3 linked regions of the Drosophila melanogaster genome follow. Changing the gene in region 3 together with the main gene of any one other region gives a genetic interaction. Each region holds a gene or a part of one and is shown on either strand. Other genes may lie near its edges.

Region 1 (6,230 bases), 5.1 Mb from region 3:
GATAGTATTTCTGAATGCTTACTAACCTAAAAACTCGTTTTGATCTCCTAGCCGCATAGTCAGTTATTTGTTTAAAACATTCTAGGCAAAGCAAATGGATCGAGTTTGAGCAGTTTCTTCAGAAAGAACGCTTTTATGGGCCCGCTAATCATCACATTTCATCTATGATCGTTCGATCGATTGTAAAAGAACACAACGTAAAGTTCACATCTTAAGTGAAATTCCGAGTATATCAACAGATAACTTATTACAATAATTCAAGTGAAATAGATAAGGGATATGACCGTGTATCTAATCTAATCCGCACATTTAAAACCAAACTTCCTGTCACATATTAAAACAAGATGGTACGAAGTCTTTTTTTTTTTTTTTTTTGAAAACAAATTTATCCGACGTAAGAAAATAATGGTCAATGGTTCAAGCGTTGGATTTGTAAGATCCGCATGGCTAGTTATGATAGTATTTTTATACTTTTGGTGATTTTTGATTGCAAAAGCAATGCTTTCTTCTGGTATCCCGCTGAATCCCAATAGTAAGATTCGAATAGATAATACTGCCGTATTTGTATCTTTGCCGTGTTTTATAGCTATATAGAGTTGACGCGTGCTAACTGCCCCTATATGGTGGTCCCAGTTCCCCAAACCCCTCGATTATCCAATGGCCGACATTCAATTGCGCAGCGCGGCGGCAGAGAACTACAGTTAATTGCATTTACAATATTGCCACAGTTAGGTCGATTCTTTATGGTTTGTATAGATTGTATGGGTTTTAGGAGAATGCGAATCTTTTGTGGGACGGAGAGGGGCGGTGCAGCAAGCATGTTCGTTTAACGATCTCCCCAGCTCATGTTTATTTATGAGTTGCCAATCGAATCAATTTCATTCGACTCGACTTGACTCGGACTTGACTTGAATCGCTTTCAACTGTTGTTGTGCAGCTGCAAAATGCAAATTTTGGACAAAATCCATGGTACGTACACATATATACATATGGATATATGAACGTCTGTATGTTGTGCACCTGTGTTCAAGTTAAACGTAGTGCCGTCCTCTCCTTTTAATTATTAAGTAATATACATAAGTGTATAGATCATATCGTCTAATATGCAGAAAAGTCCAATCGAACGGATGAAAGGAACCTATCAGCTTTAACATCCTTTCTATGTACGTATGTACATATGTATGTACACATACCTCAATTATATCCTGTACTGCATATGCACCAACAATTGTGAAGCATTGAAGCATACATAATACATACATATATTTCATATATATTACAAAGCTGTTGCTACTGATCAGAAACTCGTCTATTATAATGCCACAAACACACCCCTTTACCTGTTGCACGCGTTTTCCCAAAGACAATATACCCCTTTTCTGAGCGACTAATTGAAATAGTCCAGTACGAACCCTTATTTTGACAACAGCTGCACGAGTGGCTGCATACGATATATATATATGTATGTATGTATGTGTGTACATATATGTACATGTACTGATATGTGGTATGGATTGGGTTCCCATAGATGGCATGGCTTGGCATGGCATGCAGGTCTAGGGCAGTGCCAAAACCGACGACGAAAGCAACTATCAAATGCCGTTCAAGGCCGTTTGAAATTGCGTGGCAGGCAGAACAAGTTCCACACATCGGTGTGTGTGTGTGTGTGTGTGTGTGTATTGTTATTAACCAGCTGATGTGCGTCCGCGTGTGTGTGGAAGTCTTCGGAAGGGGTGCGCACATCCTAAGTGCGCAAAAGCCATGATTGCAAGCTTTTCGGACTCGGAAAAACAATACAATACCAACGGCAGATTTGGTCATTCAGGCAGGCAAATTGTCAAATAACTAACGGTTACTTTAGTGCTCATTAATGTTTTTATGTGCTTTAATAGATACGCTACTATTTTAGTTATTTCCCCAATGCAATACGTTAAGATACTCATCTACTAAGAGACGAATTTTTATTTACCCATTAATAATAACGGATGATTCGGAAATCGCATACGAAAACGCCTTAGTTGTATATTTACTCCTTTTTCTACCCTTACTACCGTATACGTAATAACAATAATGAGCCAGAGACGATTGGTGGCTAAGTATGTACACTGGCGAAAATACCTTTCAGCAAGCATAACCATAGCTTCCTTTTTACAGGATCCAGATAAAACGCGCAGATAAAAATGTTAGGCAGTGACATCTGTTGCAGATGAAAAGGATTAAGAACTACAGATTCAAAAGGCTGCTCCTTTTCTTTCAGTGTGAGAGAGGGAGAGAGAGAGAGAGGGTTTAGGTGGAGGCAAGTCGGCAGGGGAGCAGGAAGCATGAAATTGAGAGAAAATAAGGATAAACAAGCCGAAGGATATGGGACGGCACTGTTGCTTCGCAAGTGTGTGTGTGCACGTCCTGACCGCGTGCACACACACGCCGTGTGGCCGTGTATAAGTGTGCGAGCGAGAGGGGGCGATCGATGGTGTGAGTGACTGGCAATAGCCGCCGCGTCTTATTGACATTAAAACCGCTGCTGCTGCCGCCGCCGCCGTCGCCAGTCGACTTCACATATACCCGCTCTCTCGAGTCCCTCCCCATACCATTCCATACCATCCCATCCCTACCATTCATCCTGGCTCGTTCTTCTTCCTCTTTTATTTTTAAATAACACCCGGCGCAGATGCTAAACAAGACGCCAGAAATTAAAGTGCAAAGGTGTGTGCTGCAGCAACAACAGCAACAACAGCAACAACAACAGCGTCCTCGACAGAAGGACGATACTTTGGCGTTGTACTTAGCGTCAACCGAAGAATACGAAGACAAGGACCGCGAACAATGTGGGATCAAGGATCTAAGCAGATATATATGTATGTATGCACATATACCAAATGTTCCGAGCGTCCACATGGTGCGGATTTAATCACGCACACACATTGGCATTCATGAAAGGATATCGGATATGTATAGAGTATCAAACGGAACCGCTGCGCAAGATGGAAAACAGATTTGATCGCTAATCAAGTAAATAGATGATACATATCATTGTCAAACTTGAAATTAAATGAATCAAAAGTACTGAACATCCTGAATCAAGCAAATGACATATGGCATCCTATGTGAAAAAATAATATAAAGGATCTCTTAGTGATCTCATTCAAGATTAGCCAACTATCTCCTCGTGATATTATAAAATATTTACGACTCACTCATATCTACTGATTCATGCACTCCTTTGCTAAGAGAGTTATTTATAGGAACTGTGATCTAAGAAGGAAAACTGGTGGAAACAATATGGGCTTTTTCGGAATCTATTTTAGGTCACTTGTTAATATTGTTCCATTGCATATTTAATCCATATGAATTTGGTCTGTGGTTTCTGATTATCAATTTTCAAAGCCCTAATTGCAGTTGAAAAACCGCAGTGGAAAAACACATTTCAATTCGATTTGAAATGAAGTTCATGGAATAACCGAAACGTAGTTTAAATTTTAATTAAAATTTTAATACAGTTTGTCAAGTATTTTCGTTCCAAATCAAATTTGTTTAGGTTTACAAGCGTAATTTTTATTGTTTACCAACGTGATAGATGTACAATAAAAATATATAAACGATCTAGACCCAAGCAATTGCATTAAAAACTTGACAAGCTGTATGTACATCTACATTATTTTCGAGTAAAATAACAACAAGATAAAGCTGGCTTGTTCTCAACAACTATCAGGCTAAAAAAAAAAAATGAAAATAAAAACAAACAGAATCGCAAAAAATTGCCGAATGGAAATTTTGTGGCACGCAAACTTGTTGCTCCATCTGCGTGTGAGTGAGATGTGTATGCTAGTGTGTATGTGAGCCAGTCTATGAGCGCGCGAGTTTGTGTGTGTTTGTGTGCGAGGAGAAGCTTACTTTGCGATGTTTAAATAATAAATGATTTATTTATTTTTCGGTTTGTTTTTGTTTTGATTTCCACCTGGGCTGATGCATTTTGGTGCCCACTTTTACGAGAAAACGCCGAACTAATCGTTTTCGTTATATGTATTTATTATTATTTTTTTGTTGCTTTTTGCATGTCACCAACAGAAACAGAAAAAAAAAACGAAACGAAACACACTGAAAAACGCGCGCGTACACTTGTATATATGTGAATGTGCGCTGGTATTGGCGCGCGTGTGAGTGTGAGCGAATTTGCAAGAGACGGGGCGTATGAGCAATGCCGTGGCGAAAACTTTGCCACTTTTGTTGTCTGCGACGAAAGCAAAAACAGCGAGACACCGTAAAAAAAAAAACAAGTAATATAAACACAGCTTTACATGCGCAGTTTTTGTTGTTGTTTTTATCCGGCTGCTGTGGCGTTGCACTGCGTATTACTGTTTTACACTTTTTTTTTACTTTTTAGAGCGTCCGCGTTGCGGCGACGCGTTGTAAGCGGTTCGAAAGGTAGCGCAGCACTGGCGCTCTGCCGCCAATTCGAACAGCTGAGCGCCAGCCGAAGAGAGAGAGCCGAAGAGTGCCGAACGACGCAGCTCCGCTACCACTACCACCGCAATGGCGCTCAGTCGCGGTCGCTGTGCGCTGCTGTGCTCTGCTGTAAGCGCTCTTACATTCCGCGCCCGAATTTTTCGTGCTTTTCCCTTGTTTTCCCTGTGGGCCAGCGTTTCGCTGCTGCTCGGACTCGGTTTGGGCCAACACTTGTCGCCTCTTGGCCATTATGCAACGACAGCGAAACGAAGGTGCTCACGAAGTGGCCAAGCTGCTCTCTGATTGGTCGGCGGTCAGTGCCACGAGGCCAGCCGAAGTTCTCTCGCGAGAACCCAAGAGCACTCTCTCCCTCTCTTTTGGGAGAGATGAGATAGCAAAGAAAAGCCAAAACACTAGAACAATCCAGAAGCCAAGTTTTCCGGCTTGCACATACGCCGTATAATCCGCATTTTTTGCGAACTCTAAACTCGAGTCTATCAGCTATAATATTACAATTCGTTCACTATAAACAAATAAACTAATATAATTTTGCTCAGAAATCGATGCACTATGATGAGAGAATAGTGAAAAACAATTCTCAGTTAATAGCTTTTAAACTGCTCTGCAAATGGGAAAACAAATTAAAATATACACATTTTCATGCCAAATAATAGGATATCCTATCCTTCATTATATAAGCATAAACAATGAAAATATTCTAGCTCGCTTTGATCTTTTAATGTGTGTATAATGTATTAGTACGTGTACTTTAGTCAAAGAACTATGCACAAATACCGGTTGAACTTTTTTTGGGTATGGAAAAGCAACCGCATGTGAGCGAAAAGAATGTTTGGGGATTGAAGGCGTGATATTGGGCGGAGTGGCCAAAACATTGGCAAGGGAGCCATCAGCATCAGCATCCACATCCACATTCACATCCACATCATCGCCAGCGTCGAGAGCTCTTTCGATCGAAATAAATTCGAATCGAGTGCGATTCGTCAACAAGGCGAAGATAAAGATTTCAGAGCAATAGAACAGAAAATCAATGTTATTCAATCAAAAGCCAATGCAAAATTGCTTTGCACTCTGGCACACTGCTATGTAAATATGTTAGAGATTCAACTTTTACAAATTCTATTTTCCAAGTCCAAGTAAATATTTTAAAGAACTATCGTGCTTAAGGCATTATTATGATTAAAAATAAACTGATTGCAGCTGATAAGAATCGTGAATTCAGCTCATTATAGTCTCAACGTACTTTGTGAGCACTTTGTATTGCCTCGCTTCGGTTGATTTATTTATTTCTTTTTGGGTTTGGTTTGGTTTTGTTTTGGTTTGCTTTCTATTTTCTATAGTTGATAAGGATAAAATTGGTTCATACTCGAATTATTGTTTTACCTCAGAACATAAAATAGTTGCAAATAATACAAGGCAGAGAGATTGATGTTTTAAGCAGTAAATAAAGGAATGGTATATTCATATAAGGATTATATATACATTCAAAATCCAATAATATCAAATATTTCGGATATCTCAACAATCTTGCCAAAAGTCGGAAATCTCGCCAATAACGTTATTTTTTGCTTATAAAGAAATCTGTTTGCCGTTGTTTTTGCACAAACACTCAAACACACAAGCCCAGCTGATAAGATAGTCGAGAGTCCATAGAAATGCCAAACCGAGAACTATACGAAAGTAAGAAAGTAAGAAAGTGCGGGCAGAAGGAAGTGGGTGCGGATGGGATCGAATTTAGCGCGTGCCCAAATGTCCCGTTAATGAATACA
Region 2 (4,664 bases), on a different chromosome or scaffold from region 3:
GGCATCCTTGATGTTCATTCGAACCCCGGAGCTGCTGAAGGTCAGGTTCCGGCATTCGTTGCTTAGCTGCACGTTCACATCCCGCTCACCTAAGTACTTTCGCATAGTTTTGGGTAGGTTCTCCAGACCGCCTTTCAGCCCGTACATGGCCCACTTCTCCTTTACCGCCTGCGCATACAGCTTGGGCTGTCTTTCGGCAAATAGTCCATCCTTGGTGTCCTTGGTCTTGTTCTTCTCAAAGCGGGAAATGAGTGTGCCCTTGAGCACTCCTCCGTACTTCTGTTCCTTTTCAAAGAGCCCCTCCATCAGGAAGCGCACACTTATTTCTCGCGCGTCACCGGCGCAAATACCGCAGATCATGGGACTGATGGCGTAGTCGGCTATCTCCTTACCAAACCGCCGCTCAGCGAAACTGTAGATGCTCTCATCCTCCAGCTTCGCTTTCTTGCTTGCTGTGAACAGATCGCGAAGAACCGCTTTGTATAGCGGCTTCGTGAAGGGAGGCAGGACGCCGAAGAGACCCTTGGGACTGTTGGGCAGCATGCAGAGCTGTCCCTTGGCATACAGCATTCGGTTGCGTGCTGCGACATGACTGCGTCGAATGGGAGTCACCTCCAGCTTCAGATCCTCCACCAATTCTAGCGTATTGGCACCTGGCTCACCAACTGGGCGTATGGTTCGCGGTCCGCTCTCGAAGATGAAGTTGCGATCCTTGCGATTCTCCGACCGCACCCATCCGCCCACACGGGGCGAGGCCTCGTAGATGGTCAGCGGCTTCCCGAATCGCCGCAACAGGTAGTATCCGGCGGATAGTCCACTCAATCCGCCTCCCAGCACGGCCGTCGTCATGGTCCTTCTGCTGCTTCTCGTTGCTCCCGAATCCCTTAGAGGATTCAGACTAGTTCTGGTTTGCAGACGAAAAAATCTATGCCGGCTTCGATCGTTCAGACCAAAATAAACCCAGGTGACATAACTATCGTTGAAGCTATCGATAAGCTCAAATCCAAAATCGCTGAGCTTGCAATCGATGTTATATGCGATTGAAGAGTTTTGAATTGACAATTCTGCAGAAAATAAAATCAAATAAAGGAAGGGATAAATATTTTATAAAATAAATAGCATTTATTGTTATACTTATTTTGGTAACTACAGCTAACATAATATCTTATAATCGAAACAATGGTTTTAGAATATTTATTGTTAAATTATGTAAAGTTAAATAAAATATAGTGCAATTGATAATACTTAATTTAAGCATTGATACAAGAATACAAATGCATAGTACTTTTATTTGCCATTATTTTATCTCATTTAACATGCATTTGTGCACCCGTCCCAAAAGTATGCAATGAATTTCTTCCGACATTCCTCATACGCCACGTGTGCATCGTGCGGAAGTTCACTTGCACCTGCATCGGCACCATTACCATCATCATCACCATCACCGCGGCACTGGGTCATTCATAGTGAATGGGTTTTGGCGCCAGTTTTGATGAATCGAACGAAGCGTCCAGCCCGCACCAACCGCAGGACTCCGAAAAGCTCCCAAAGACGAGCTTGGGCCGTGCGGAAGTACATTGGGCCACCGATTTCCATGTCGTCGGAGTCGACATCGCGCAGAATTGTATACGCTGCTGACGAGAAAGGTTGGTCCTCGCGTTTGAGCGCGTCGCGTCTTTTATTCTGGGTGTGTGAGTGAGTGGACTGTGTGGAAAAGTGCCTATCGCGTATATGTATATTCACGGGACCCATACACACACACACAGCTGCAGCACTTGGAAATGTGAAAAATTTTCAAGCTGCGTTTGCCAATTACGGGGAAAATTGAGCAAAAAACGTCTTAAAATCCGGGCAATTATCGTGGCCATTTGCGGAACGGCAATTGTGCAAAATTCGGTATCCGTTGAAAACGGGCTCAGTGAACGTGAAAATGTGCCACACACACACTTACAACGCAGGAAATTCAATTAATTAGTGACCGAGTGTGTGTGTGTGTGTTCGCCCATAAAACGGCGATTGTGATTGCGAAAAAAGTGTTGCATACATAAAGGAGCTAAGAAGTGGACCAACGAGCAACACTAAAGGAAAACTCTTTAGAAATACAGTTTTTCGCTTTTTTTTTTGGCACTGCTGCAGGTTTTCATTTAAAAGATACATTTGTTGAAGTCAACACACACGGACACACACACATGCGCATACGGCACAGTTTTTCGTTCGTTTTTAAAACGAGCACACCACAAGTTCCCCAAAACGAAAGGACGAAGGGACCCGACCCGATGATAAAGTCGATGTTCCAGGCCGGAGATACACTTGTATCGTTCCCCTGCCTTTGCCGCTGCTGTCATCGTCAATGTTATTTTTGTTGCTTCCTACTCGTCGTCCTTCGTGTGTCGCAGGATACCTTGGTATATGTGTGTCAGTCAGTCACTGGCCGAGCGTGGGTGTGTGTGTGCGTGCGCCAGGATACGCAGATACCCAGATACCTACAAATGAAGCCACCAAATCCAGGCGAGTTCAATGCGCGGCCAGGACGAAGGACTAAGCTCTGTTTACATTGGCTCACGAATGCCCATTTTCCAAGCCCCCTGTATTTTCCGCCCGTTGGCGTGCCGTGGGAAATTGTGTCGCCTGCTTATTTATTATGAAAATGCAACTTTCATTTGACTCGGCATTTGTCCCGTTTCCATTGTTTGCAGGCACATTAGGCAGCTCGTTAAGCGCATGAAAGTGTGTGTCCTGCGGGTGTGCGAGTGTGTGTGTGTGACACGAAGGGGAACTAAAAACTAGGGCAGTGTGTTTCCGTTTCAACGACATGCCGCAGGCGAAAGAACGAGTCCGTCCGCAGGACAGCAAAGCCTCGCTAATCGGGCAGGAAATGAATAACTTAAAAAGTTACCAATGACAAGTTTGACATTAAATGTATCATATACAAATAACATGCAAACGAAAGTGATAATTGTAAAGCATGTTGTATATTGCCAAAAATTCTAGTTTTTGGTACCACATTGCGTATGCTTAACCAAAATGTGCGACTTTCGCAGGCAAGGAAAAAGCTTTCTGCCCGACAATTTTCGGATTCCCTGCATCGCGCAGCCGCCAATACGCCAGCAGCAATTGTGAGAAATTGAGAGAAATTCTCAGAGAATTCTCCGAGAACTGAGAATTTAAAAACGGCGAGAATAGTGCTGATTTTGCTTTCAAGTCTGCTTCGCATCTTTATTTATTTATTTACTTGACACGCTTGCTTTTCCGGCTACGGAAAATGGTGATACAATGTCTAAAATAATATTAATTTAATAGAATATATATACGAATACAAATATATACGTAATATCATTGACAAATGTCTGCGGTCGTAAAAAAATTAAAAACGCAAATAACGCTGACAGCCTAACTAAAAAATATAATTAATTACCGCGTTCGTCGCGCTGCCTTGGCAAATTAAAAAGTATTTAAATTATCGCTCAACTTAATAAATCTCTTGCAGCTTAACACACAAGGAAAAATTTCGTGGGCAAACAAAGCTAAATAAGTTGTGAAAGGAAACATGAGCAGTGTGACTAAGCGCAGTTTCTAATTTAACCAAATTCCAATTCAAATTCAAAAGAACGAACAACTATTGATCAAGACGGCAAAGAAAGAAGCAAACAAACCAAAACGCACAATGAAACTGATAAGCTTAACGCAGCTGATAACACAATGAAACTCATCCACGGATCCGAAATGCAATTATGAAATAATCAGCAAGCCGCAATCCATCAGCCAGTGAGGAAAATCCAGCCAGCCAGCCCAAGAATTTCCACGTGCAACATTGGCGAGCCGCAGCGACCACAAATCGTCCAAACACATTGATGTGCGATTTGAGCGTGTGAATGTTGGCAGCCCTGGAGCCCTGCCTCGGTGGTTTAGCCAGTACTAGGTGAGTACTCCCAGTCCTTCATCCATTCGCCCAAAAAACACTGTTCCAAATCCCAATTCGATTGCACCACCACCACAACATCCATACACTGTGCCGCATAGAAACCCGAATATGAGAACGGATAGCGAGGGGAAAGCCGTAGCAGCCGCAAGATCCACTTCGAAATCCAGAAAGACCATCAACACCACATCAGCAAGCGGTCCGCCCGGACCGAAACCGGAACGAACATGGCCAGCTGGTGCCCCAATTGCCACGAACTGCCACCGTTCTATCCGCCCATCACGCCAAAGGTAAAGCCCTTGATGTCGTACGTGATAAATCCACAGATACATATTCGTACGCCTCGCTTGTGAAAGACCATCTGAAATTGTAGAAGTCACGTTAGCGGCTCTGCAATGATCTGTATACGGACTACTGGGATTAACCTATCTCTCCAGCTCGTCAATCAATCAATCATCAATCAATCAGTCATTTTTCCAGCGATAGTTCGCAGTGCTAGACGCTGCTACTCTTATCACATTTTGCTCTACTTCGAACATATAAAAGGCAGTGATCTTTAATCCAATAGCTTATCACTTTGTTTTGAATCCAAAGGAGCGAGCTCATTATATTATATATATCATTAAAATGTAAGCCTTATTTCTGTTAATTAAGTGTACAACTTGGTGTAAAACGATAATGTAATCGAGAGATATTTGTAAAATTTGTTGTAAATATATATAATGTACATAATCTTATCAGTACT
Region 3 (4,565 bases):
GCCAATGTCAAATTTTCTTCAGATAATGTCTCTATCGCTGTAATAATTCCATCGTAACACGAAGGCAATGTGATCAGTAGATGAGAAATTTTATCCATCTCTTCTATTTTTGCACCAGCTGCCAACAATTCACTTATAAGTTCGTCAAAAATATGAAAATGGCTTAATAGTGACATCTCACTCGATAGCTTCAGAGAAAGCAAACGTTTTCGCAGCGCCAGTTGCGACGCCAAACTTTTTCGTTCATAAACGGCGTCCAAATTCTCAAGAATCTGACGCGCCGTAATGTCGCTTGTTGCGAAATTTAAAAACGAGTCGCTTAGGTACTCTATTATTGTACTTTTTGCACAACGCTCTGCCTTTTTCCAGGAGTCATCTACCTCGTTAGGCATTAAACCATCAACTACTTTAAGCACATCTTGCTCGGCTAAAAGAGCCCTAATTCTAAATTTCCAAATCGCGTACTTCTCGCCATCAAACGGCTTAATATTACGTTTAGCCTTGTCCATTTTTCACTCAAATTCTGAGAAGGAAATAATTTCACAAGAATGTGAAAAAAAAAGCTATTTCACAAGAATGTGAAAAAAATGCTATTTCACAATTTATTTTCACAATCTTTAATTCACAATTTAATTGTTTATTAGGCATGGACTGGGCCCATAACCTGTTGTAATTTATAATTTATATTTCCTTTCTTAATAAATAAATAAATAGTCAAGTTTATGTTTGAGTTTTATGATTTATATTTTAAGTTATTTCAACTGCAACACCAGCACCACGACCTACTCACAGCAAAAAACGTACAAGAAGGAAAGAAGGAATAAAAAGAGTGGTATTCTCTTACAATATGTTTTATGGCATAAAAGGTGTGGCCATTCATATCAAATATAAAGTAGTGTTGTTTAACGTTATTTTTGTAGGTTGAATAGTATATTCCAACAAACACAAATATGAAAAGTCGGCGGGGCGAAAAGAAAACACATGTGTCAGCTGCTGCAGCACACACAATTTAAAACTATAATATTAAAGGCAATTTGTTAAAAGGGTTGCAATTATTTATAGCCATCGCCCTAATGATTCAGATAATAAATGAGCTAAATAATTCGAAATCCCTAGTGAAAATCTATGAATAGAAGCCATTTAAACTGGCTTAGAAGCTACAATTATCTAGTCAAGTCATTAGTTAGTCAAATACACAGTTAAGTAGTTGTTATTAATAGCCATAAATGTATGATCATCGTAAAAATGATTGGTCATAAACTAAAAGTCTTACTTTTTATCGAAACAATAAAAAGTAAGCTAATAACGATCAGCAGTTAAAGTTGACGGATTTGTGTTATATCCAACTGGAATCTAGTTAAACAACAATTTAAAGATAATAATTGTTTATGAAAAACGCTATAAGTAGTTAGTACTAATATTAATTTTATTTTCCTTTTTTGGATAAAATTTCAGTTCTACATATATAATAATATTCATGTTATTTAAATAGGATTTTCGATTATATTTTTCATTCTATTTTTGCTTTCTTTCTTTCTTTCTTTCTTTTCAATAAAATATTAAATTTTATATACATGTATTGAGAAAATATAATATTTACTTTACTCATATTCTAATTTGTATTAAATATTAAAATGAATAAAAACGTTTCAACCTTCTCCCGATTTCATGTGTATCTTATCCATAACTACGTATATATGTACTTCAGAGATGCAAAAGTATCTTAGTATCTCAAACTGAATTTCGTCAAAGGAAAACACTTACCCAAAAAGCAACAACGATTGTGTTGCAAGTTGACTGCTGCTGCTTCTTCTTCTTCTGTTACTTTTTTGCCTCCTTGTTCTGTATCTCTTGTTGTTGTTGTTGTTATTATTGTTGTTGTAGGTCCAAGATGCATAGATGGCTGAGCGGAGAGTAAGAGGGTGCGAATGAGACAGCGATAGGGAGCGAGTGAGAGAGCAAGCGAGTTGTAATTGAATGTTTGGCTCTTAATTAAAACAAGAATTGTGACAGCCACGCTTTAAGGCGGGGGGCGTGGCAAGCCCAAGCCTAAGCCCACTCCCACACACTCTCTCTCTCTCTCTCTCCCTTGGTTATTGCTTTTCTTTGCTCTCTCTCTTCGCGTGCCCTTTTTGATTATCTAATCCTTGGGGCAGGTGACATTTTGCAACTTTTGGGGAAGCGGAAGTTGTTGCCGTTTTCTTGTGCTGCCGCCGCTGCCAATACCGTTATCGATTTTTTGCGGCAGCTTGTTGTTGTTGTTGTTGCCGCTGCTGCCGCCGCCGTAAGCCGAAAAAAGGCGTGTGTGTGGCAAAGAGACAGAGGAACGTGGAGAAGAGAGGGAAAAGCCAGTGGCAAAGCGCATCCATGGACGGCACACACACACACACACACACACACACGCATTGGCATGATGAGAAGAGTGGGGGAGTGTGGAAAACGGGGAGAGAGGAGAGCCGAAAAGGCCAAAGCGAAACGAGTTAAGACGCAAGACAATGCAGATAAAAGCGGCAACAACGACAACAACAAACACGGCCAAGAACGGCAACAACAACCACAACAGCAGAAGGCGTCGCGGTGCGCTCTTCTTCTTGCTCTCCTTCTTTATCATCTGCTGGCAATGCATTCGTGTTTTTTGTTGTTTTTTGGGTTTTCGGTTTTTCTTGTTGGTTTTCTTTTATTATTATTTTTTTTTTTTTTTTGGAAAACTTGAATCTTTACCAGCTGCGTTTGGAGTTTTCCTGCCACTTCTTAAATGCGCGCGCGCATTTCCCACGACAAAAAGAAAACAAACGACCAGCGAGACACACAAAGTGGCACTTTATAGAACGAAAAAAAAAGTAGAATGTGCAAATACACCAGCACCGAAAAAAAAAAAGAAGAACAACAGTTAAGATCGCCGCGTTATTTAACCGCTTTTCCTTCCACACAACTCACGACGCGATTTCTTCGGATTGTTTGGCTTGGTTTGTTTGGTTTGTTCGGTTTCTCTTCGGCTCCGCTCGCTTCGGATTTGGTCTGTTCTCAGCAAAGCGTTGCAGCCAAACTAAAGCGTCCGTCGGCGGTTCGTAGCGAACCACTGCGAACCGAGTGGCACGAAGCTGCACGAAGTTGCACGAAGCGTTCGTCGGCGTGCAGCGAAAGCACTATCGTAGAGATGGGGCGCCACTGCTTGCGATAGCCCAATCGATATATCGTATATCAGCTGGTGTGATTTTAAATCCTATTATCAGCGTTATTTACAATATATACCAATTTCAAATTGATAGATGGAGATCGAACGTTGTGGTTTTTAAAGTTCCTGATCTTAATGCGTACATGTTCACTTATATGCAACTTGTATGGCGAATAAAAGTTGAAATGCAAAAGCTTTCAAAAGTCTATCGCCATGTCTTACATATTATCAGCAATCAGCTGGTTTTCTAGGTACTGTGTTATTATAGATTACTTATTGATTTTGAATATAGTTTTTAATATTAAGTTAAAATATACACCAATTAATCAAAAATTTTAAATGGGATTTGAGTAAAAATTAATGGGCATAATCATAGAATAAGTTTTTTATTTGGTAGGAAATACTAAACTAGAAAATACCAAAAGGCTGAAGAATGGTGGTCAAATGAAATTTCTAAAATAGAAAACCGTTAAAAGGCAATGCTATATTATTTAATAACATAACACAAACTAGTCAATTTTAAAGTTGATTTTTTACGTATTATAACAAAGAATGAAACTAAAGCTTTATAGTTACCAATTAAAAATGGCAGCCCCATTTTATTCACTAACTGCCCAGTTTTCGAAATGAAACATTCAGTTTTGTATAATACACTTCATATAATTTTATGCAGGTATTTATATATGCAATTATTTAACACTCAGTGGCGCAAACAGAAGAAAACCGAAGAATTCGCGGACAATTTGCAAGTCGCTTGTATTTCAAATGTCTCCATAAAGTAATATTGCTGATTCGGCTTTTGGTGCGAATTGTCAACGCACTCCTCGTTTTCTTTCAGTGCACACCACATTTACCATTATTTGTACACTCTTATGTATTTTTGTGGGTTTCTTGTAAATCATTTTGCCGAATATTTAGCTCGTACACACTAAAACTATTAAACTGATTTCGTTTTTGTTGACTAGCATTTAGTTATTTGCTTTTTGTAAACAGCATAAAATGTAACTTTCTTAATTATGTATATGCCACTACATAAACTAAATTATTGCACATCATTTATTTAGGATTAGAACATAGTTTGCCACACGTGCCTGAGTGCGTTGGTGTGGATTTAAAAAGATTCCTGCTGGCTCATCCATCATCTCGCATCCATTTCGATCCACCTGGGATTGATGTCTTTTTGTATTTGAATGATATGTACGCTACGCTTTTGACTAATTGGATTTTTTGGATCGATCGTAAGTATGCCCTAATACTCATAGAGTAAAATTTTGCCATAATTTTCATATTTGTATGCGTGCAGTGATGGGGGAAGTTGTGTCAGCGGCCAAACAAGAGTTTTCTAAATTGAAGAAAGGTACTTTCGAAAATTCCGTTACAAAAATGCTCA

Evidence for each region. Genes that interact genetically often act in the same process or in processes that back each other up.
Region 1: of rut (region 3) and amn, changing one suppresses a phenotype caused by changing the other (phenotypic suppression), as found in Drosophila melanogaster (one study listed by BioGRID).
Region 2: of rut (region 3) and slo, changing one suppresses a phenotype caused by changing the other (phenotypic suppression), as found in Drosophila melanogaster (one study listed by BioGRID).

Annotation. Positions count from the first base shown.
Region 1 is NC_004354.4:19,885,558-19,891,787, reverse strand, and holds amn (amnesiac), read left to right. Parts: upstream 1-1,727; 5' UTR 1,728-4,295; coding exon 4,296-4,838; 3' UTR 4,839-5,680; downstream 5,681-6,230. UniProt on the Drosophila melanogaster protein: Required for associative learning and memory in adults. Expression pattern suggests a modulatory role in memory formation. Controls neurotransmitter-mediated signaling pathways associated with the structure of the larval peripheral nerve.
Region 2 is NT_033777.3:24,660,877-24,665,540, forward strand, and holds the start of slo (slowpoke), read left to right. Parts: upstream 1-1,614; 5' UTR 1,615-1,687; intron 1,688-3,487; 5' UTR 3,488-3,919; intron 3,920-4,020; 5' UTR 4,021-4,209; exon of another isoform or gene 4,210-4,548; intron 4,549-4,664. Other genes in the region: Ppox (protoporphyrinogen oxidase), read right to left, coding at 1-849. UniProt on the Drosophila melanogaster protein: Potassium channel activated by both membrane depolarization or increase in cytosolic Ca(2+) that mediates export of K(+). Its activation dampens the excitatory events that elevate the cytosolic Ca(2+) concentration and/or depolarize the cell membrane.
Region 3 is NC_004354.4:14,823,025-14,827,589, forward strand, and holds the start of rut (rutabaga), read right to left. Parts: upstream 3,050-4,565; 5' UTR 2,938-3,049; intron 2,882-2,937; exon of another isoform or gene 2,722-2,881; intron 1,904-2,721; 5' UTR 1,765-1,903; intron 1-1,764. UniProt on the Drosophila melanogaster protein: This is a membrane-bound, calmodulin-sensitive adenylyl cyclase. Inactivation of this cyclase leads to a learning and memory defect.